Linked DNA regions of Astyanax mexicanus. The protein of the gene in region 1 binds, or shares a complex with, the protein of each later gene. Links are inferred from orthologs where the notes say so. Each region holds a gene or a part of one and is shown on either strand. Other genes may lie near its edges. The genes, in order: sumo3a, uspl1 and senp1.

What was found.
Region 2: the proteins of sumo3a (region 1) and uspl1 are in contact, whole or in part, in a crystal structure (PDB 7ZJU), measured with the Homo sapiens proteins. The link is inferred for Astyanax mexicanus from reciprocal best matches to the Homo sapiens genes SUMO3 and USPL1. Residues at the interface, in NP_008867.2 of Homo sapiens: Gln24, Asp25, Gly26, Ser27, Val28, Arg58, Arg60, Gly63, Gln64, Pro65, Ile66, Asn67, Asp70, Leu75, Phe86, Gln87, Gln89, Thr90, Gly91; in NP_005791.3 of Homo sapiens: Ala234, Cys236, Trp237, Pro321, Gln322, Leu323, Arg324, Met330, Glu331, Ser332, Val334, Phe335, Leu339, Tyr368, Thr378, Thr380, His393, Phe394, Gly395, Pro396, Asn398, Arg407, His421, Val423, Tyr451, Asn454, Asn455, His456, Phe457, His493.
Region 3: the proteins of sumo3a (region 1) and senp1 are in contact, whole or in part, in a crystal structure (PDB 6NNQ), measured with the Homo sapiens proteins. The link is inferred for Astyanax mexicanus from reciprocal best matches to the Homo sapiens genes SUMO3 and SENP1. Residues at the interface, in NP_008867.2 of Homo sapiens: Gln24, Ser53, Arg55, Gln56, Arg58, Arg60, Asp62, Gly63, Pro65, Asn67, Thr69, Asp70, Gln74, Glu76, Asp84, Phe86, Gln87, Gln88, Gln89, Thr90, Gly91, Gly92; in NP_001254523.1 of Homo sapiens: Gln440, Asp441, Glu446, Arg449, Leu450, Thr451, Lys455, Trp465, Leu466, Asn467, Asp468, Glu469, Asn494, Thr495, Phe496, Lys500, Arg511, Trp512, Lys514, Lys515, His529, Gly531, Val532, His533, Trp534, Gln597, Gly600, Ser601, Asp602, Cys603.

Annotation. Positions count from the first base shown.
Region 1 is NC_064412.1:39,371,681-39,379,558, forward strand, and holds the start of sumo3a (small ubiquitin-related modifier 3-like), read right to left. Parts: upstream 3,081-7,878; 5' UTR 2,946-3,080; coding exon 2,925-2,945; intron 1,532-2,924; coding exon 1,403-1,531; intron 1,220-1,402; coding exon 1,148-1,219; intron 734-1,147; coding exon 671-733; 3' UTR 1-670. Other genes in the region: pttg1ipa (PTTG1 interacting protein a), read right to left, coding at 6,529-6,575, 7,612-7,658. UniProt on the Homo sapiens protein: Ubiquitin-like protein which can be covalently attached to target lysines either as a monomer or as a lysine-linked polymer. Does not seem to be involved in protein degradation and may function as an antagonist of ubiquitin in the degradation process.
Region 2 is NC_064427.1:14,347,918-14,355,028, forward strand, and holds the start of uspl1 (SUMO-specific isopeptidase USPL1), read right to left. Parts: upstream 3,071-7,111; 5' UTR 2,962-3,070; intron 1,527-2,961; 5' UTR 1,444-1,526; coding exon 1,381-1,443; intron 1,074-1,380; coding exon 957-1,073; intron 664-956; coding exon 57-663; intron 1-56. Other genes in the region: hmgb1a (high mobility group protein B1a), read left to right, coding at 7,086-7,111. UniProt on the Homo sapiens protein: SUMO-specific isopeptidase involved in protein desumoylation. Specifically binds SUMO proteins with a higher affinity for SUMO2 and SUMO3 which it cleaves more efficiently. Also able to process full-length SUMO proteins to their mature forms.
Region 3 is NC_064420.1:2,617,801-2,625,110, reverse strand, and holds the start of senp1 (sentrin-specific protease 1), read right to left. Parts: upstream 3,084-7,310; 5' UTR 2,609-3,083; coding exon 2,475-2,608; intron 1,296-2,474; coding exon 1,240-1,295; intron 930-1,239; coding exon 724-929; intron 1-723. Other genes in the region: acyl-coenzyme A diphosphatase FITM2, read right to left, coding at 6,285-6,882. UniProt on the Homo sapiens protein: Protease that catalyzes two essential functions in the SUMO pathway.

The DNA.
Region 1 (7,878 bases):
AGGGTTTGGTCCAGTATCCTGATCCTCACCACTTATTACACTACCGGACCAGGGTTCTCCTCTGAGGGAGGAAGAAAGTTCCCTTCAATCCCATCCCCCTTTGTTACTTCTTGAGTGAGGCAGTTCATTTTAAAATAAATGTGGAGAAACAAACAAAGAATGCAGGGTGGGCATCTCTTCAGCTTACAGACATAAAATAGATCCTGGCTTAAAAGATACTTAAAGCTGCATGACACAGAAGGGGGAAGATCCTCATTCTGCAGAATATAGACAATATGGGCATAGACCATTTATATTTCAAAATGGAAAGAATGGCGGGACAGGCAACTATGGCCCGACTTTCTGGCCAGTATTACACACTGAGAGACGCAACAAGTAGTTCAGATGGCCATTTTGAACTATACCTCAGGGCAGCCATCTTAGTTTTGCCTGCAGCCACATTTGTCATCTCACAGACATGATTACATACTGAAAGAGTGAAGTGGGAGGGGGAATGAAAAGAAAAAAAAAAAAAAATCAAAACAAAAAACCTGGTCCCACCCTATGAAAACTAGGGAGGACTTTCAAATAACTGGCAAAGAAGGGAAATGAACAGTACAGTTAAAGAGAGCATTTAGAGGAAAACATGTCAAATAAAACAGCCGAGTGGGAGCTCGCTGCGCGAATAGGTTTAGCGAGAACCGCCTGTCTGTTGTTGAAATACATCGATAGTGTCCTCATCCTCCATCTCCAACTGCAAGAAAGAAAACATATTAAACCAACTGGATACAACTGATCAAAGTAAATAAACATAAGAGAAAAGAGCAAAAAAATCCCAAATTTTGACAATAGTTTATAATTAACCTTAAATTCGCTCAGAGAGACATTAAGCCAATAAGATAGCAGTTGGCTGCAACAAATGTACTGGAATATTTAGGGGCACCCAAGAGGACAGATTCATAAATAACAAAATGTTAGAGTTTAGTTAATTTTTACATAAATTTCTGGATTCTATTCCTTAAGCTAGCGTAAAGTTGACATAGCTTTTACACTTCAGACTGCATGAGCTAATTTTTGTACATTTTATCTACTTATAAGTAATCTATACAATTTGTGGTGAAGCTGTGATTTAGTCATTGTGGGACAAAGGTAATCCTTATATGCTCACCTGTGCCGGCGTGTCTGTCTCGTTTATTGGCTGTCCATCAAACCTAAACCTAATCTGTCTTATTGACAACCCCTGCAAGAACAAAAAATAAAACATTAGTGCAGCTCAAGACCATGCATGCATACACAGTAACAATGGAAACCGCATTAAAGAGAAGAAAACAAACATATATAAAAGGCAAAATATGCAATCACCAATCTCTTTTCCACCTATTAACAAAAGTCAAAAAACACAAACAAGCAAGCATGCACACACCTGTCTTTCACAGTATGCTTTCATTAGTTTGCTGAGGGGTGTATGCCTTTTGATTTTAAACTGGACCACTGATCCATCCTGCCCAGCCACCTTCAAGTTGATGTGATCGTTCTCAGTCTTCACTCCCTCCTGTAAGAGAAAAGAGGGGGAAATGTAACAATGAGACATGTAAGCAGCTTCTATTGGTTAGAATATACAAATACAAAATGTTAACATGTTCTATTGCAAACGTCAGGGTAACCATTCTGAGTGATACCATGGACGGATGTGGTTAATCACATGTTTATAAAAGCTGTTCAGAAAGTGGTAAAGGTGTTCTGTGGTTCAGTAAATGTGGCTAACTTTATGTACCAAAAACAGAAAGACAAAAAGTAGATTGGATACCATTTTCTCATATCTTTTCCTGAAAACCAGACTGAGAAGCAGAAATAAAAACTGGCAACTTAAGGAAATGGATGAACCCAGAATGGGCTGAATGGTTGTTTCAATTAGCTAACTAGCGTTAGCTTGGTTAACTAACCTATGTTAGCTAATGCTAGCTACCATTATTTTTGTCTGAGCTAATAGCATCTCCTAGCTAACATCTCCCCACAGATACAGTCAGACATTAGCGAAAACTGACTAGCTAGCGTTAAATACAGCGATTAAAAAGTGGTGAAACTGCGCAGATTCGCCCTTTCCTGTTTAAGCGCTCTTAATGCTATCTAAAGAGCTCGGGGTGTGAGAAAATGGAGAGGCGCTAGCTTATTTTCCCTCCATAAGCCTCACACTGCAAAGCTCCCCTCATAAAGTGAAAGCTAGCTTACAGCTAAACACACCAGAACCTGGCCATTACAGCAACAAGCCTCACAAAACAACATGAAGCGAGCTGAAACACGGCGGTAGCTAACATTAGCTAAGTGGCTAACCGCTACACTACCCAGCTCTCAGTGAGGAGACGCGTCGTTGAGGCTCTTTGCCGCCGCCGCCGTGCGCCATTTTCGCATCTGGTGCAGCTAAAAGCCTGCACCTAAAATCAGCTCCCAAACAACCCGCTCACCTTCACCCTCCCCGTTTAAATTAACGAGCATTTTAACACGATTTAAACCAATTAAGAGGCTCATGATGAATAAACTCGGTCGATTCCAGTCAGCGGCCCGTTGCGCTTCTTCTCGTAGCGCCACTTCTCCGCTTTCACAAAGGAAAAGCCGCAAAGCTCGACGCTGCTTCTCACACGGCGACGGAAAAACGGCGCAGAGCAGGTAAACAACGGCGCGCTTTCAATGGACGACCGTCCGCCTGTGTCTAATTCCCTGAAATATTTAAAGAACCCGCGGAATAACCGGGTTTTATAAATGTAGCGGGAGAATGGAAAAACCCCGCGGCCGCACGCTGGCTTCCATTTTCCCGCACAAATGCGCAGCCTGCCGAGCGCACTCTGAATATAACACTGAACCGGCGCTTTTCCCTCCGCGCGCGCTCTTCTTCCTTCCCTCTCCCCCGAACACTTGCTCCCCACACGGACACCCGGCTCTCGGCTCACCTTGGGCTTATCTTCAGACATCTTCTCCGCGGGTTTTCTTGCTGATCTCCGCTCACCGTGTTTGTGTGATTTCGCTACTGTCCGCCCGGCCGCCACGAGCACGCGCCTCTCTTTACCTCCTTCGGCCCTGATTGGGCGTCACAGAGTCACGTGTTCCAGTCTGGGCGGGAGCGCGCCGCGCGTTCCCGTGCGCGCCTCTTTCTTCTGGGGGGAGGAGTGAAAAAAAAGAAACAAGAAAAACGGGGTCGCGCGCACAGAGACAAAAAGGCGCGGCCCCGCTCAAACCCACGGATTAAATTAGGATTATTAATATTTTAAGTTAAACTGGTCCGTATTGAAGACAGGCCTATTGATAGATACCGAATATAATTGATTTTTTACACGTGACGTTTGTGTCTGTGGGTTTTCTGTGTCTAATGAACAATTTAGTCATTCTTTTCTCCGCCACTAGGGGCAAGCGATTTGGACCTGCACACAAATAGGCCGCCATAATAATAATAATAATAATAATAATAATAATAATAATAATAATAATAATAATAATAATAATAATAATAATAATAATAATAATGAATAAATGATAATTTATTGATCCCAGATTTTCAAACCATGCCTTATGTCAGAGCAGTAAAATGATTTTATATATTTGTTATTATTATCTGTTTATATATCTACCTTAATAACTATTTTCTGTAAAATACAATACAATAAATACAATAAAAACGTTTTTTTTAAATAAATAAGTAAATAAAAATTATGTTAACAAGTGCTGAATGAATTGATAAGCATAAGCTATATACTGTAATAATGTATTTGCATGTATTTTTGTTATTTTCTCAACCATGCCTTGACATTTGACAATTCTTAAAATTCAAATTTAAATAAGTTCGGATATTTTATTTGAATTATTTAAAATCTGTAAAATGATTTTATAAACTTGCAAAACAGTGTCTGCTGCCTTTATATTAATATTAATACAATTTTATGAAAAATACCATAATACAACAGTTATACTCGTTGCCTAATTCTTAAAAATTGAAATGATATAAACAAATGACATATTAAATTATAAACATAAAGTGGAAAAAATGTATGTGAACCCTTTGGTTCACAAATCTGCTTATACATTTGTCTTAAAATATGATCTGATCTTCATCTAAATTAGCATTGAAAAATATGTTGTGCCTAAAATATCACATAATTCAATCCATAGCATCTGAGATCTGACTTGGCCCATCCTAAAGGTGGATTTTGTTTTTCTTAAACCATTCTGTTGTGAACTTGCTCTGGGGTTTTGGGTCACTGTCCTGTTGCATTACCCAACTTCTACTCCTGTAAAATTGTTTGATACACTCGGGAATTCATCCAGATCTTGATATTCCCTCCACCTTACTTTGGAAGTTGGAAGGATGTTTTTATGGTGATGTGCAGTGACATTTTATATCAGATTTAGTGCAGCAAAGCAGTTTAATTTTAGTGTTATCTGTCAATAAAATATTTTCCAGTACCAAGGTAGAGCTTCAATGTGCTTTTAGTAATTCCTTTATGTTTTTTTACATTATGTAAATCAACATTTTTTAATATTTGATTCTCTGAAAGCTCTTTTTTGGCACAGCATTGCTCAGATATAGGTATCCTTCTTGTGCAGAGCAAAATCAAAAAGTTTAAATGGATTTTATCAAAGTAGCTCTAGTCCACACCTTTAAACTAGCATTAGTCCAAGTGCTAATGCTTGACTCTAATTTTATATATATATTATTATATATTATATAATAATTATTTTAGGTATATCATATTTTTAATACCATTATTCTGAATCAAATAACATTTTGTGACAAATTTATGCTACCAATTGAACCATGAAATTCCAAAGGGTTCACATACCTTTTCTAGACACTATATGCTGTATACTGTAATTATGTATTTGCATTCATTTTAGTTTTTGTTTTAATCATTTCTTGACATTTGACTTTATTATATTGTCCTATATTGAATGTATAATAATTTAATAAATGTAATAATTTAAAACATATGTACATTAATTTATACACTTGCTACACAGTTTTATATTATTAAAAATACTTATTCCCAACTTTACCATCATAATCTTGAAAAAGTTCTGATTTTTAAACCACTTCATTCATTTCAGCTGAATTAATCTTCTTGAAAAGCTCTCATATATATTTTTTTACATTCTGATAGACAGGTCAACAACTGCTTAATGCCCTTGAAAAGCATAACAAACATTAACCAGTTTAGCTCTGGACTTCAGGGAATTTATGTGGTCTCCCAACTTGGCAGGTTAGTCAACCTATATGTTTACTGGCTGATCTCCAGGACCAGCATGAAAAACAGGCTTGACAAACAGTCATGTCAAGCAGCTTAATCAAGCTGGATGATCACCAAAACTACACTAGTCAATTAGAATTAGCAGCATAATAATGCTGGTTGACCAGCATGACTCAGATGGTTTACCAGTATAACAGATTAGTCAACCAGTATGACCAGCTTTGTCAGTTGTGTTAAGGTGGTTAAGAGCTAAGTTGGTGTTAACAAGCTTTACCAGTTTTCGTACAGTATACTGTGTGTTTTTCCCCAGACTGGCCATCTTTTCAACCGCCTTCATCTTCTTGCTGGTCCTTAGCTGGATTTTATCTGTAGTTAATTTTGTTCTTTCTCTGAAGGCAAACAAACTCAGTTCTAAAATAACGATCAAACAATGAAATCATAAAAAAGGAACACAGCTATTCACAGAAAAAAAGATTTTATTTTTATTTTCCATATTCTCAGTCAAACCTACAATACATAGGAACGTATTGCTGTTGATTAACATAAATAGCAATAAATCAGAGAAATCTTAATCAAGGTGTCCAATCCATTGTTTTACTATAAACAACCAGCAGCACACTGGTTTCATCAACTGGTCTGTCTGCAAACTAGTGAAAACAAGAGCTTCACCTTGGCTGAAAATGAAAACCTAAAGCCAGACTGGCTCTTTGCAGATAAGAATGGACACCCCTGTCCTAAATTAAGAAAGTCCCAACTAAACATTTCCACTAAACCCTTTAAAGATTCTGAGCTCATAAAAATCAGTGTACAGAAAACTATTAGTATGATGTGGCCTATAGTTTGGGGCAATGGGTCACTATCAGTATAAGGTGCCTTTTGTGGCACAGTGAAATAAAAACAAATTAAATTATTCATTTTGTTATTTTCATAAAAATATTCAGCTATTTACATTATATATCTTATATTGTCTTCATATTTCGCTGAGGAAAAGCTGTTGTTTACCCTGTCACGGGTAAAATATTACATTAATTATAATATTAAAAAATGAAAATAAAAACTGATTAAACTAGAAGACATCCTGTGAAAACATTTCTGTGTAATCTGAAGTCATACGTTTAGAAATTAAACTGATTAAAAATTGTCGAAAGAATGAAAAATCTTAAGTAATGTTTTTTTTTGTCTTCAGGGCCAAAAAGGCACAGTATTTTGATAATGACTCAGCTAATAAAATCAGACATTATCAGACAGCAGCATCAAAGTAAAAGTCATTAAAGGCAGTTTGCAAAGGTTTTGAAGGTTCACTCAGGAGCTCCTCTCAGGCAGCATTCTCAAACCTGGCATAAGGGCTGGCCTTACTGAGACCTGAGAGAAAGAGAGAGAGAGAGAGAGAGAGAGAGAGAAAGAAAGAGAAATATTGTTGCCATATCACATTCTGAGTGCATGTTTACTTTAGCACTGCCCTGGGAAAAAGTACATAATGGATGTGAGTGGACCTGAAGGCTGAGGAAATGTGGACTGTTAATTTAAAAATAATTACATTACAAACATGCGCTTTTCTGTTTAAAGAGGCACTCCAGCAAAACTGACAAACATAACCATCACTATATCTGTTGTAATATGCTTACTAGCCTTCCACAGGGGTGACAATTGGAGCTCTAATTTAGCTTCTTTTGTTTAAAGGCCACCTACGTCATGTCCACAGTTACGTGCCACGTTACGTTAAATAATTATTCTAAGGCGTTAATTAACACAATATTTATTTCAATTATTCATTTAGCTATTTCCCTTTTTTTATAAAAATATTAAGCTAAGAATTCCATGCCCACCCTGTCATCTTGGGAAAACTCTGGCCCTTTAAGAAATTAACTTTTGATATCAGATTTATTAATCAGCAATTAATAACATTAATTTCACTTAATATTATTCATACACTCTCCATATTGAACTGGGGTAAAGCTGAAGATGTTCAAGCTGTCATGTTAAAATGTCAAGGTATTTAACACAATTTTAGGAAATCCAAATTGATCTTTGAAACTAAAAAGGGTGCCATGAACAAAACAACATGTTTGTAACTTTAGGTCAACCATGTTTTCGTCAAATGTTTATTTTTGCTGCAATTTTCACCTTGTCATTGTAAGACAGGATGAACCATTTTAGCAAAAATTAACATTTGATGAAAACATGGTTCACCTAAAGTAGTCTGTTAAAGTAGCAGTTTACTGAATGTCAGTCTCTTTAGCAGACTTCTGTTAGACCTCAATTTTCATTTTATCTGATTAAATGAAATGAACGTGGTTTTCTATAGAGGGTGGAGGAAGGTTCTTTTAATGATAATCTGTACATGTTCATACAGTGAAGCATCAGTGTGTGAGGGGGCATCACTTATGACACTGCTTACCATATTTCTGCCGAATTTCATCATGTCGCACTCTCATCTCAGCTTTCCTGTAAAAGAGCAAATATATTCTTATTGTAAATCCATGCAGACAGATACACAGACACACACACACACACACATATACAGACAGACAAGTCTGTAGATTATCTCAGTCCAGCATGGCTGCCAAACCGGTTTGTACTGGAACATTTTTAGTGACGACCAACTTTACAGCAGCACTTTTTTTCCCTTTGTTCTGAAGATATGCAGAGGCTGATATATAAAGGC
Region 2 (7,111 bases), on another chromosome or scaffold:
GAAATGTTTTTACATGATTCAAAAGGTGAAAAATGCTGTAACATGCACCCACTTACCTTGGCATTGTTTCCCTTTGGATTTCAGATATGTACATGTTTTCCTGTATCTTGTGCACAAGTTCCTCACATGGCAACTTTTGCTAAGAAAGCTGTTACTGCCAGAATTTACTTCGCTAAATACACCAAAGTGTACGAGTGCAATAAGCAACGAATCCAACCAACAAAGGTTGTCCTTATTTTTCCAGAATAAGTGTTGCTGGTAGGGCATCATCTCGATCAAATCTTGCGTAGCTCCATCTGTCAACGTGGTCTCAGTTGTCTCCTTCCGGGTGCTGGATACACAATTCTCAGTCTGTGCTGTATCTGACAATACCTGATCCTCATTGTTGGCAGCGGGGGCCTCAGGGCATGTCTGGATATTATTCTGAACCACATTCTGCTCCTCTTGTCTATAAGGAAACCGCTTCACTTCTAACAATTCACTGGACACCCTGCAGTCACTGGCCTCAGGCACAATGCAGGACTCCTCTTTTTTCAGATGCTTGGGAGATGAAACTTTAGACTCGGACATGTGAGACTTTCTCTTGCACACCTTTTTGTCATCTGCTGAATAAAGACTTGCACGAATATCCTCCAAAGGTCGGCTGACAAGAGGAAAAAGGCACTGCACAGGAAGAAGAATGAAATAAGGTCAATATGAAAACACCCAGCACACCATTATCCAAAAAGGGCAACTTAACATACTTCTAGTTCTGATACCAACTGCACAAATACAGCTTTCATTTATGTTGTTTACACAGCATTAATTGTTAGCTTATGCGTGCCAAAACGGAATAGTTGAAACGCTATGATACAATACTTCAGATGAAATTACAGCTACAAATTATGTATATTATTTGTGTGTGTGTCATGTAAACCACAATAAAAGAAACCTAGTGTTAACATGGCATGGCCTACCAGTGGACTGCTGCACAGAGTGATGGATTCATTAAAGTTGATGGCATATGAGCATAGAGCACTTCTCTGTCCTTTTGCAGAGCACCAAGGGCAATCTTCAGTTATTCTCTCTTCAGCCTTGAGGGACAAAATATGTGATGACAGGGTTAAAATTACCAAAGAATACAAAAACTGAAGGAAAACATTCAAAAGCCTCACATGGCAAGAGAAAGAGAGTATCGATGTGCATTTAAAATAAGCACTTTCATTACTACCGAAAAGTGCTACACAAGATCCAAAAAAGTACCACTTTCGCCTTTTACTAATATATTTGTTTTGACCAGCTGAGGGGCTGCAGAAATTTGACCCCCACCCCAATAGCTTTGAGCAATGAGCAAATAGCTTTGCACATGTGACAGACAGGGAGAACTGAGTAACAACTGACTTTTCCCAAACACCCCACCAGCGCTGGGCTTTTCAAACCCGCGCCGTGGATTTCACCGTTCATGAGCGCCGCTGTCACCACCTTATCCACCGCATGTGGCTGCAATCCTCCATAAGCATGTGCCTCGACCAGCTGGTTCACAGACACTGTAACGACAAACAGCACTGCTTGAAAGAACTGAATACAACTGAAAATAGAATGAAAACGCCAAGAATAAATCTGAATCAAGACCCAGATAACATACTATGTGAATTAACATTCATATTTCCTGTTCTATTGACCTAAAGTGATCTCAGATATCAGAATCAATTTATTTGTGCATTTGGATTTTATGTTGGTTCAACATAGGGATGTGCCATATCGTATGGTATACAAAAATATCACCAACATTTTATTATACTGTGAACAATATTATACTCTGAAATACCGTGCCATATCACCCACCCCTAATTATCACATCAGGGAACTATTTTTTGCTGTTTTTAAGCAAAAGAAAAATTCACACTGCTCTCATTTCCCATTATATATCTACTAGAGACATTATATCTGTCCAGTATAATTTATTTTACTTTAATTCTGGATTATATGGAAATATTTGGAGTGCATTATTAGTATAATTACATTCTGGATCATTGACTTTTGTTACAAATCTGATAAAATTCTTTTATTTTTTTTAATGTCTCGGTTAGGGGTGTGCTGTTTCATATCGTATGCAATAGTAAAATGTACATTTTGTTTTGTTGCAGTACTGTATTTATGAAATCCTTTTTTTTTAAATTAAATGTCATATCGTTATTGCAAAAATACCATGAAACATCGTGATATTATTTTAGGCCATAACGTCCACCCCTAGTTCAACATTGCTGTTTACATGTGTTAGTTGTATTATTTTATGACATTATTATATTTAGTACTTTCTTGTTGCAGTGTGTAAAGAAACATTTAAAACTTAACTTATTATTATTATTATTTAAAGGAAATCAGTGTAGTTAATGAGACAGAATATTAACGTTATTCAATGAGCTTTGCTATCAGGGGAATAACTGGGATTAATCAGTCTGGGATTAAAGTCAATAAAACGTAGGTTATACAAAACAATTGTATCTTATATTAGGAGAAAATCAGGGAAATGCAGGTTCTGAGCTGCAGGTTCTGCCGTGTGTGAAAACCCAGCTTTACTGTCAATAAACTTCAAATACAACCTGTTCTTAACACGAATGTCAGCTAACCTAGCTAGTTAGCTTAGCTATGGGTTTAACACAGCACAGGAAGGCTAAAACAGTTAGCGATAGGACATAACACTATATTTATATCGATAAGACAATTAGTTAATAACCAGAAATGTCCCTAAAACTCTGAGCGTTGTAGATTTATTTAGGTTATGTATTAAACTAGGTAATAAGGCTGAGCTTCTAGCTAGCCTAACCTGTATCAGCTGCAGCACAGAGTGAAGACAGAAGGTAAGCTGACCAGGACGCTAACGAGTTAGTATCTAAGATATGCCGATATTAAACGGGTGAATAAATATTCCGTTTGTGTTCTGCAGATCAAACACAGCTATTACTAAATTACTGCACTTACCAGGAAAGTGAGCGAGTCAGAAATGAGCGTGTCTAAGAGTAGCAGCACACCGGTATGAACAGCCGCCATGTGTGCGCTCCCCGACGTAACTTCAGCGTTCGACATCCGGTGTTCTGTCGAGATGTGCTACCCAACCATGTTCAACTTCGCAGCTCTGCGCATGCGCGCACCCCCAATTTGATGTTTTGATAATGGTGCGTTACTAAATCAAAACTTACTGTTATAATTTTCTTGTGCGTTACAAAATAATTAATGAAGAATTAAAAATACAAAAACAACTTTTATCACACCTCGTTTAATTAACAGGATAAACCTGTCTATCTGATATGGTGATTTAAGCCATCCAAATATCTTACCTTTGTTCTGCTAAGAGCATTTTCTCATATGCTGCTTTTAGCCAAATTAAATATTTCGCCCACTATTGCATTAGGACAGCTTTACTCATAATAATTTATGGTAGCGAATTTTGACAAGATATTACAAATCGGCAGACCACAGGATCTACAATGCGACAGCAAAAAGCTACTTCAGCGCCACCGCGTGTAACTTATGTGTATTGCAGATAACCCACAGCAATAAGAGGATCTACATAAACAAACCAAGCAAAAAAATACACACACATTTTTCGTTGTTTTTTTATATTTTTCATGTTCTATTTTGTAACCTCAGGACCAGAGCCTCAATGTGACTGCAATTCCCATACATAAAAAATAAACGTTTTTTTTAATTATACATACACTGCTCAAATAACACAATTCAATCAGGAAATTAAATTAACAAAAAATGTATAATACTTGTGTTTCATTAATCAAGCTGTCAACGCACCCCAAACACACACACACACACACACACACAGATACACACACACACAATGTCTGCAATATATAACACCATGTGCTTCGTGTGTACATGCGCATATGTTTGTTCTGAAGGCAAGCAGATTGCTGCAGCTGCTCATCAAAAAAACATTAGCACAGAGGGGCTACTGCTCCCCTTCAGGCTCCCCCTGCTTCTTATATACTGCTGTCACCGTAGTCCCTAACAATATTCATTTGCATAATTTTCCCAAGAAATTTTAATTAACATGCACTAGCCTTTCTTTTCTTTTACAGATTATTTAGCTTGTTTATTTATTGTTTGTATGCCTATAGTGTTAAATTATTGTGATAAATTACTCAGATTACTTTTTTTCTACAAAGAAAACATGAACAAAATGTAACTATTTGTAAAGTATTTACTATGGATATCACGTACATTACAATGACAGTTGTATGCATGTGTATAATCACAAATAATATTTTTTTCCAGAGACAATGCTTTAATATAATTTGAAATTAAAATTAATCAGTAAACAAAAATCTATTAACTGATGACAGACAGTGAGGTGCAGGTTGACACAAAGACAGATAGCTAGACAGACAGCACACAGGAAGCCTGACATATTAACTGATATTTGTTATTATTGTACACTTAAACTTTAAAATTCACCATTTAGTTTTTAATTTATTTAGTGAATTCTCTTAGTAAAGGTGCATTAGTTTACACACATTCAGCAAAAATGGCCTACAGTCAAATTTCTACAGTAAAAGATTGTAGGTTTCTCAATGCTTTTGAACATTTGTTGAATTTAATAAATCTAATAAAACAGTCAGATGCTAATGCAACTAAACTAATTTTTATGTAAATGTATTGAGTGCCCATACATTGACTCAGTTCAACTAGTATGTTTAAAAGAAAAGAAAAAGGAATAATCGGTGTATATCTTATTTTTCTGCATTTGTTTATTAATCACGTCGGACAGTCATAAGCATTTGATTGAAACTGTTCTGTTAATGGCTGCATCTTTTATACTACTTTATTTAAAACACATTTGGCGTGTTGGCACTAAAATATAGAAATCTGTGATATAAAAATATTTTTTAATACAGTTACATACTCTGTTAATTTGAACTAAACAGTGTATGGAGGGCGAGTTCAGCGAGGAGTCAGATCGCATTCATTCAGTATTTTGTATCACATTACAGCGCTCTCTACCACACTCCACACAGACCCGTTGATTCAGTGTTCCGTATGGCACTCACAGAACCTAGTAATGCTATAGCTTACACAGTGCACGGTATCTACCAACACACTGCTTCAAGTTCAGCACAGAAACACAGCGTAGTTTGTATTAACCCGCCATTTAAAACACTCGTGACGTTTCACAAAAGACGGCCAATCCGAGTGGGTCTGTTATTAGGACAATGGAAAGTTTTCGACCAATCGGCAGAACGTTCGGCTTGGCGGTAGCCAATAGGATGCGAGCCCTACTGAGAGTAATGTTACAGAGCGAAGAGCTGAGTGAGAAGACTGCGTATCGCTATTACCTCCACACAGCCATTGCAGTGCATTGAGAATCAGCACCAGCCTTTGGAAAGTGTCAGCTATATAAATTTGGAAGTGTGGGTAAGTACAGAATTGTATGGATAACGAAAACCTTGTGTAAATTTTAAGCAAAATCTAATGTCGAGATTAACTGCATATTTAATTTTATAAACGTTAAAAAAAATTCCGTGAATTTAGACCGTGTATTATCATCTTATTGAAATAAGCGTAATCTTTGCTAGATTTACATTTTCCTGTAAAAAAAAATAAACAACAGTCTTGCCTAATTCTGATTATATTTAAAGCCTTGACTGCCAGATTTCTACATGTATTAAATGTGTTCGTTAAAACTAACGTTCGGTGCAAAGCTAGGTGAGTGAATTGCGTACAAACAAGGTCTATGGAAGGTATTACTGGCAGCTAGCAAGCTAGCAAGTCAGCGTTAGCCTGCTAGCTAGCCATTGCAGTGCATAGCCGGAGATGTCAAACATGTGAAGAGAGTTGGCTGTGGGAAATAAACAGAAATAAAAAACGTACTGAGGTAAAAAATGAGCTGAATCGTGCGCTGGGTGCTTGTTTGTTCGTGTAATCGGTTTTTGTGTAATGATGAAGAAATTGATGAAAAAAATTACCTCAGGATCTGCGCTTTACTGTAATGGCTGACTGTACTCGCATAGGAAACAAGGCGAAGCCACAGAGCCTGACACAAGCGCAGTTCACTTCAACTTTTTCGAACCGTGTTTTCTATTGGTATCTGCATTTAACCGAGAGATATTTCGCCAGAAAATAAAAATTCAATCTTTCGTTGTTGCAGTGAATGCGTTTTTTTATTTTTCCGTGTATAGTGACGTTGTTAAAATCTTAGTTAAAATAAGGTGGGTACCGCGGTCGCTCTGCCCCCTATTGCATGCAGTGTAATGGCTGAGCATTGACACAAAGAGAAGGAGCCATATTCTCAGTGTTAGTGGATGAAGACAAGCGGCCATTCCGAGCCCACAGCAAACTCTACACAGCCCGTACATAGACTTACTACAGACCTAGTGTATTACTATACACCGGGCGAGTGCATAGGGTTTTATGAAGGAGAAATTTTGTCAAGAACACCGACTTTCGCCGTTATTTGTCGAATTAAAAAGCGAACAGGAAGGCGGGTGGAGACATTTTAGGAGGACTTTCTTTCATGAAGAAGGCTTTCTCACAAAATGGAAGGAGAAATATTGCTGTCGTTGTTGACCTCCTTTCCCTCAACAAGACAGCCTGTGCGCCATTGCTATATATGAGTACATAGAAGAAATCGCTCTTTTCAGTGGACAGTATATTGGATTTTTTTTAAAACATTTTAACAGTTTTTTACCACTTGTACAATGTTATGCCTAGATTAGCACGCACAATATTTTTATCAGTTTGGTTGTTTTTACTCTTATTACCCATTTTCAACTTCGGATCTTAGTTTTATTCGATGTTATCATTACTTTAATTTTAGCTTTTATTGCAACTTTTTGTGTTTTATAAACATTAATATGAAGCTTTTCGCAACATCGGGATGGTAAACAGCTGATCTGTTGCCATTGCAAGTTTATGTTTATTCAAGGAAACGGAAAAAATCTTGCGATCTCTCTACACACAGACTTTGCTGAAATGTGAAGCACTAGGTGCACGGAGGTCTCAGGTGAAGAGTCTGTGTCTGTGGTCGTGTACAGATGGATGACATGATGCAAAATATGAATTCTCTCTTTTTCCGTTTTAGGGATATATTGAAGATGGGGAAGGACCCAACGAAGCCAAG
Region 3 (7,310 bases), on another chromosome or scaffold:
CAGATACTGCCAACTTTTGACCAAGCAGAAATCTTTGGCTCTAAGCAGATTAAATATTCTACTAAGTTCAGCATATTTAAAACAAAAACGGTTTCGTTGAAACATTTATTTTTTTACATTTCAAATAAAAAAAGCAATAGCAAAAAATATTTGCATGTTTTTGTCCAATACAGAGACGTAACTGAGACATATAAAATACAAAACAAAAAAATCTCATTTGTATAAAACCTCATGCAACATTTAAAACTTCACTAAATTGAAATTGTCAAAAGCATATTATATTACAGGTGCAAGACATGCTAAAGGAAGCATGCACCGTAGCCCAGCATCATCTACGCCCTGCTCATTCAGATAACAATAATTTATTACTTTGTTGTGAAACATCAGCTAAATCTAAGCAACTCTCAAACATTTTAGATAATTATAATAGTATATAAAAGTAATTATGAGAGTAAAGAACTGAAACGTGGGCTTACATACAGGGTCTAATGGGTTAAACAGTAAATAAAACAAAGGTAATGATAAGAAAATTACAAATGAGAACTTTAAAAGATGTTAATCTTTAATATTCATACAGTTCATGCAGCAAATGTTTTGAGGGCATCGTTTATGCAACTTTGGAATGCATCTCGTACCACAGTTTTGAAAACTACTGCAATATTAATTTTTTTTTTTAATTCCTACCAACTCTTTGCATACTGTGCACCATAAAAAGTGAAATACCTTGCTTTCAGTATTTTCAGACCCCGATGCATTGGCTGCAGGAAGAGATGTGGGCAGGTCTGTGGATTCTGTCTGTGGTGGGTCAGGAGAGGCAGGCAGCATGTTCCTCAAGGTTGGGCTGACACTGCTGCGCATCCACGATGCAACAGAAGAGCCATGGGTCTTCACCCCCTCGGCCGCATTCTTCATCGTGTCCATAAAATCTCCTAAAACACAAGAAAGTTCAAGTCAAGTTGAGAGGTTTTTACTGTAGTTTCATCTAATCCTGGCATCATGTTCTCCTCCACCAGTCTTACACACTGTTTTGGATAAGGTTATGCCTTTACTCCTGGTGCAAAAATTCAAGCAGTTCAGTTTGGTGGTTTGATGGTTTGTGATCATCCATCTTCCTCTTGATTATATTCCAGAGGTTTTCAATTTGGTCAAATCAAAGAAACTCATATATCATTTTTAAGTGGCCTTTTATTTGTATTTTTTCCAGATTTATATGTTCCAAAAGGAGAGTGATATACTTACCCATTCTAAATTTCTTGACAGCTCGGTGTTCTTCAATGCCATCCACATCTTCCAGACTGTAAAGAAGAAGAAAAAAAAGATGCATGTTAATGTAAGCTGTTCTAAAACGAAAGCTACTTTGGATAGCGACACACCAGCCTATAGGAAAGCCTAACACATGCCTGCTTCTCAGGGAACAGTAGAGAACAAGACAGAAAGGTGTTAAGCAACTTCACTAGTAAAGTGTATCGGTGCAGTTTCAAAACATCTGTTGAGATACTACATTGAAAAATATTAGCTAACTAATCAAACACACTTTGACACAAACATTTACACATCCACTATATTCTCTATCAGTGGTGCACAGTTACGTGGATAGCTACAAAACAAATATAGGTGGAGACTGTACTAATTATCTGTACTTCGCTTAACATAAAAAACACGTTTGCTCGAAATAAAGAAATCGTTGAGCAGAAGTTGCAAAATTTTTCACTTGAATTTGACAAAACTTGAGCAGAAGTTATTTATACATTTTAAAGAAAACGTGAGCACGAACTGCAATATCGTTTGCTCAATAAATTATTTTTTTATTCACAGGCCCTCCCTGGCTCCCTATTATACAGTTAAACATTTAAAAATAAATATATTTTTAAATGTTTGTATTGAAAATGTCTAACAAATCTCAGGACTATATAATAGAATCGTGAATTGAATTGAATCATGAGCAGAGTGTATCGTTACACCACTACTTTCTAACTATAGAGTACTTTTACTCAAGTGGAAATCTAAAGGGACGAGTTTTTGGTAGCTACATTTATCTTATAATTTTAAATCTTGGTAGCTTCGTCCACCACTGAATAAAGTGAAGACCAGAAGCTAATTTTCCCACAATAATAATAAAGCTGATAGATACTTTGGACAGCGACACACCAGCACAGTCTAACACATGCCTGCTTCTCAGGGATCATAGCTTATATCAGTAGATTTGCCTGTGTGAACTCCAGTAGAAGTTTTTTGCCGCGCACTTTAGTGAAGGTAGCTAGCTTGAGTTTGACTAAAATAACTTAACGTTAAATAGTTAGCCTATCAATTACACACTTTTCCACTAACTTAACCTATATTATATAGCCATTCTTGTCTCTAGTAAAGTAGCTAGCTAATTAGCGTTAGCCTAGTTTAGCTAATTTGGTCTCAGAAAAGCTGGCTAGTTTAAATAGCTAACTAAGTTAGCTAGTTAAGCTAACTAATAAACTCACCAGTCTATGGGTCTCTTTCTCCGGGGAGGACCGTCTTGCTGCTGCCCCGTGCCGATATGATCCCCACCGGGCGCTTCTCCGTTGCGAAGGTTAGCTATTCCAGTCCCGAACCACTGGTAGAGCTTATTAAACATGTTTAATCCTGGAGCCGCTCTGTTTAAATCTCTCTGAAACGGGCCTTATTCACATGCTAGCAGTTAGTTAGCCAATTAGCATCATTACCTCTGTTAGCCGGTTAGCTTGAGCCGCATTTTCCAGCCCGGTAGACCGGTTAACTGGTTAGCTAGCTAGTTAGCTAGGCTAGTTAGCCAGGCTAGCACAGCCGCCGGGCCGCCGTTAGCTGCCCCAAGCCCTAACTTAGCTAGCCTAGCCAGTTAGCCGCGATGCTAACAGCGTCCCTCAGCCTGAGCGGCGGTTAATCAGCGCGCGGCCTCCCCGCGCACAGGCCTCCCCCGTTATTAATGAAACCGGGCCGGGATCCCGGAGCGCCGTTACCCGCAGTTTACCGGTTATAAACCCGGTCTCTGAAACTTGCTCGCGCGACAACCTTCTCCCGCTTCTTCCTCATTTAAAACCGCGACATGGCCAAAGCTCGCATCTCACCGTCAGGCGCGCTGATTGGCTGAGCGGCGATGACGCGCGGGGCTCGCCTGCAGTGTTGTAGAAGAGGAGTGGAGGAAAAAAAATAACATAAGGAGTGATATATTAAATATATTGTTTTGCATTGTTTTATTTCAGTTTAATTAATAAATTTGTTGTATTTTTTATTCTATAAGCATTAATGTATTTTATGTGTTGTTTTATTTCATAAGGATTACTATATTTGTTCCATTGTTTTATTCAATAAGGATTAATATATGGAAAAAAAAGCTAAAAAAATCAAAAGATTAATCACTTACATGTAATATTTTATTTATATGAATTGATATATTTGATGTATTGTTTTATTTTATATGGATTAATAAACTTGATGTATGTACTTGATATATTTGTTGTACTGTTTTAATTCATAATTTAAAGCATCATAATTGGTCTCTCCTAGTGTTTAGTCCACATATTAGTGTGGTCAGAGCTGATTTTTGGGGGGTTTTGGTGCTAACTTTTATGTAAAATGTTCAGTAAATGCAATGAGTGGCACCTTTAACAATCAACATTGCTATATCATTGTGTACAAGCAATATACTTTACGTTAATAATAGTCAAGGCAAAAGATGGATTGGTATGAAGGAAGAATTTATTTGAGCATCAGAAAAAAAGCATCAGGCTGACCAAATCATCACTGTCCAGTGAAAAACAGCATCTTCAAAAGTATCTCCATTTTTTTTAGTATCTCCATTTTTAGTTTACTACTTTATTTGATCACACAAACTGTACCTTACACTGCATCAACATTGCTTGATGAATGGACCAATAGAAATGCTTTAAACTTATCTATACACTGACTAATGTCTGAAATAACAAAAAAAGATGCAGAGCTTTCAGACCTCAAATAATGCAAAGAAAGTTCATATTGATAAAGTTTTAAGAGTTCATAAATCAAATTTTAGGTTGGAATAACCCTGGTTTTTAATCACAGTTTTCAAGCATCATGTTTGCATCATGTTCTCCTCCACCAGTCTTACACATTGCTTTTGGATAACTGATTTTATGCTGCTTTACTGCTGGTGTAACAATTCAAGCAGTTCAGTTTGGTGGTTTGATGGTTTGTGATCATCCATCGTCCTCTTGATAATATTCCAGAGGTTTTCAATTTGGTAAAATCAAAGAAACCCATCATTTTTAAGTGGCCTCTTATTTTTTTTTCAGAGCTGTATATCTACTAGAGACTATAGATTATATCTGTCCAGTATCATTTATTTTACTTTAATCCAGGATATATGGAGATATATGGAGTGCATTATTTGTATCAGTACTACTTATAATTAGTATTGGTTATAAATCTAATACTTTTTTTTTGTATTCTTTTAATATCTCAATTAGAGGTGTGCCATATCATTTCATATGCAAAAATATAATTATTATTTTTATTTTGTTACAGTAGTATATTCTTGAAATAATATATTTTTAATTTAATGTTTTGTCATATGGCAAAGAGTATCGTTATTGTGAAAATACCTTGAAATATCATAATATTATATTATTTTAGTGCCATATCGCCCACCCCTAGCCAGTAAACACAACAGCCACAAACAGCTTATTGGACTTCATTTTTAATTCTCGACATATTCAAATATCATATGACTTAAAATAGAACAAAAATGAACTATCCCTAAAAGATAATGATCAAAAACAGGGAACACAGTGCATATTATCAACATATCAATACATACAAGATATGAGTACACACAGTACAGTCATTCAAGCGCCGAAATGTTTGGCATGAGATATGGCAACACGTATCAGAGGAATATTAGTGTTTTCAAGCAGCCAAACATCCTGGCACTTAAGTCCTTTTAAATCCTGTATAAGAACAATCAGCATTTCAGAGGAACAGGGGCAAACAGGCAGACAAGCACTGTTTAACAATAGCTTCAATTATAATGGTAAAAGCTGTGTGCAATTTTTAATAAATATACATTTTATTAATATAGAATGAAAATTAAGCTTTAACACCCCCAAAAGTAAAAACATCATATTTGGACCTTTCCTGCAGCACAAAAAAATGCTGTACCTTGTATTGCCATTTTTGCACTTAATATCTGCAAGTTGTTCTTTACATTGTATTGGAATTTTATTATAAATGGACAAATAGAAATGCAGCAAAATTTGTTGAAATCATTTGATCAAAAACATTTAGAAAGGAATCTATTAAAGAAAAAGAGATTTTCTTTTTATTTCAGCCAGTAAGTCAAATGTTGCTCTTTGTTATAACCTTTTTGATGGTTATTAAAATAATAACTGAGAACTTTAGAGCCCTTTATGAGCTCTATACATTCAAAATACAAGCATGTCAGGTCCCTTAATAAACTCTTTACTTATATATATATTTATTTACTTATTTCTTAAAAAAAAACATAAAATCTAGCCTAAGCTGAGTTGACACGGCAGAGAAAAAAAATACCTAAGTTATTAAGCATTGCAGAGAAATAAGTATATTAGTTTTTTTAGGGTTACAAATTTATTATATTAAATACAATGTGGTCAGCAGAAAACCAATCAAATCAAGATCACAGATCAAATATCAATTTTCAATTTTAAATATCAGTCAAATATTTACACTTATCTGTTAAAAAAAAACATATCCAATAAAATTTTTAAATAACATTCTGCTGTGTGAATACTGATGCCATGGATCTAAATTTATATTAAAACAAAATATAACAGGTATGCCAATAACTGAATGATGAATGAAGGGACAAAAAATAAAAAAATAAGAGTCATAACTTAACACAGCATTTAATTTTACAATAAAAGAATAAAAATGATTCTCTCTGATTCTATAAGTGAACTAGAGCGTATCTACATGTAGTCGTAGATAAAGCAGCACACTTGTACTCAGCTCAATTAAAACCACCGACGTACAGAAGGCAGCAAAAAGGATTAGATAGGTAGTGTGGACGCTTAGACGAGCATACCACATGTAGCATTTCTCTCAGATTACAATCAGAGTCAATTTTGGACCTGCAGCTGCTGAAAACCTCCGAGAGACAAGCGCACAAATCCCGGCAGTACAAACAACAGCCTATAAAAAGGACACACGGACAGATGGATGGATGGACTGACGTACGGTGTGAACCAGGTTAAAGTTTGTGTCGTAGTTTAGTGTCAGTTTGTTCCTCCGCTGCACAAGTGGGTGTAAAGCTCTCAGTCCTATTCGTGTTGTTTGTGGTCGCTGTGGTGCGGCGGTAACCCCGGAGAAAACGGGTTCAGGTACCAGGCCTTGTAGGTCAGATACCATCCCAGCACAGCACACCCAGTTCCCAGGATCTTGTGAATGGTTTCGTGGAAGTACACAGAAGTGCAGGCAAACATCCATACCCAAATAACCACGATAGCATTGAGCGCCACATACAGAGCATCCAGCACAGCTGTCCTCTTCTGATTGTGCTGCACCAGGTGCAGCATGGGAACCATCTCTTCGACGATAAGGAACGTAGAATAGGCCAGAATGAACGAATGACCCGATATATCAAAGCCGTCCCACATTAACCCGGCTCTCCTGCACTCCGCCTTCGTGCTGAACTCTTCACGAACGACCTGCACGGACTCAGACTGCCCGTAACACGTCCCTGTGATGTCCTCGATGTAGAAAAACGTCTCGGTGCAGATGTACCAGATCGCCGTCGCCACCACCAGAGCTGTGAGACGCTTCAACACATAGATATGGGTTCTGTTGTAGGAGTTGGAGAGGAACAGAAACGGGAGCAGCAGAACCAGGTTCCAGCCCCAAGAGATCTTTACAAAATACCTAAGAAAGAAAAAAAAAAAGAAAAAAAAAATAAGGTAGAAGAAGATAAAATCAGCACCATTCAAAACATGAGCAAAAAAATTCTAGTTAGTTTCTTTAAAAATACATTAAAATAATAATAGTAATAATAATAATAATAATAATAATAATAATAATAATAATAATAATAATAATGTACACCCATCTGATTTTTAATACTTTAATATTGAACTTTTGTCTTTTATATTTGGGGATTGGGGAGGGAGTTCCTTACTAATGCACTCTTAATGCAGAGATATGCAGAAAAGTGAAATATCTAATTTTGTGGATTTATGGCCCTAAAATATGACAATTTTTCACAGCATTTTCTTTTTTCATTTGTTTGGCATTTACTGCATTTACTTTTAATTGGTTGTGTGCATTTTAAATGTTGACACTAAAAATGGCTG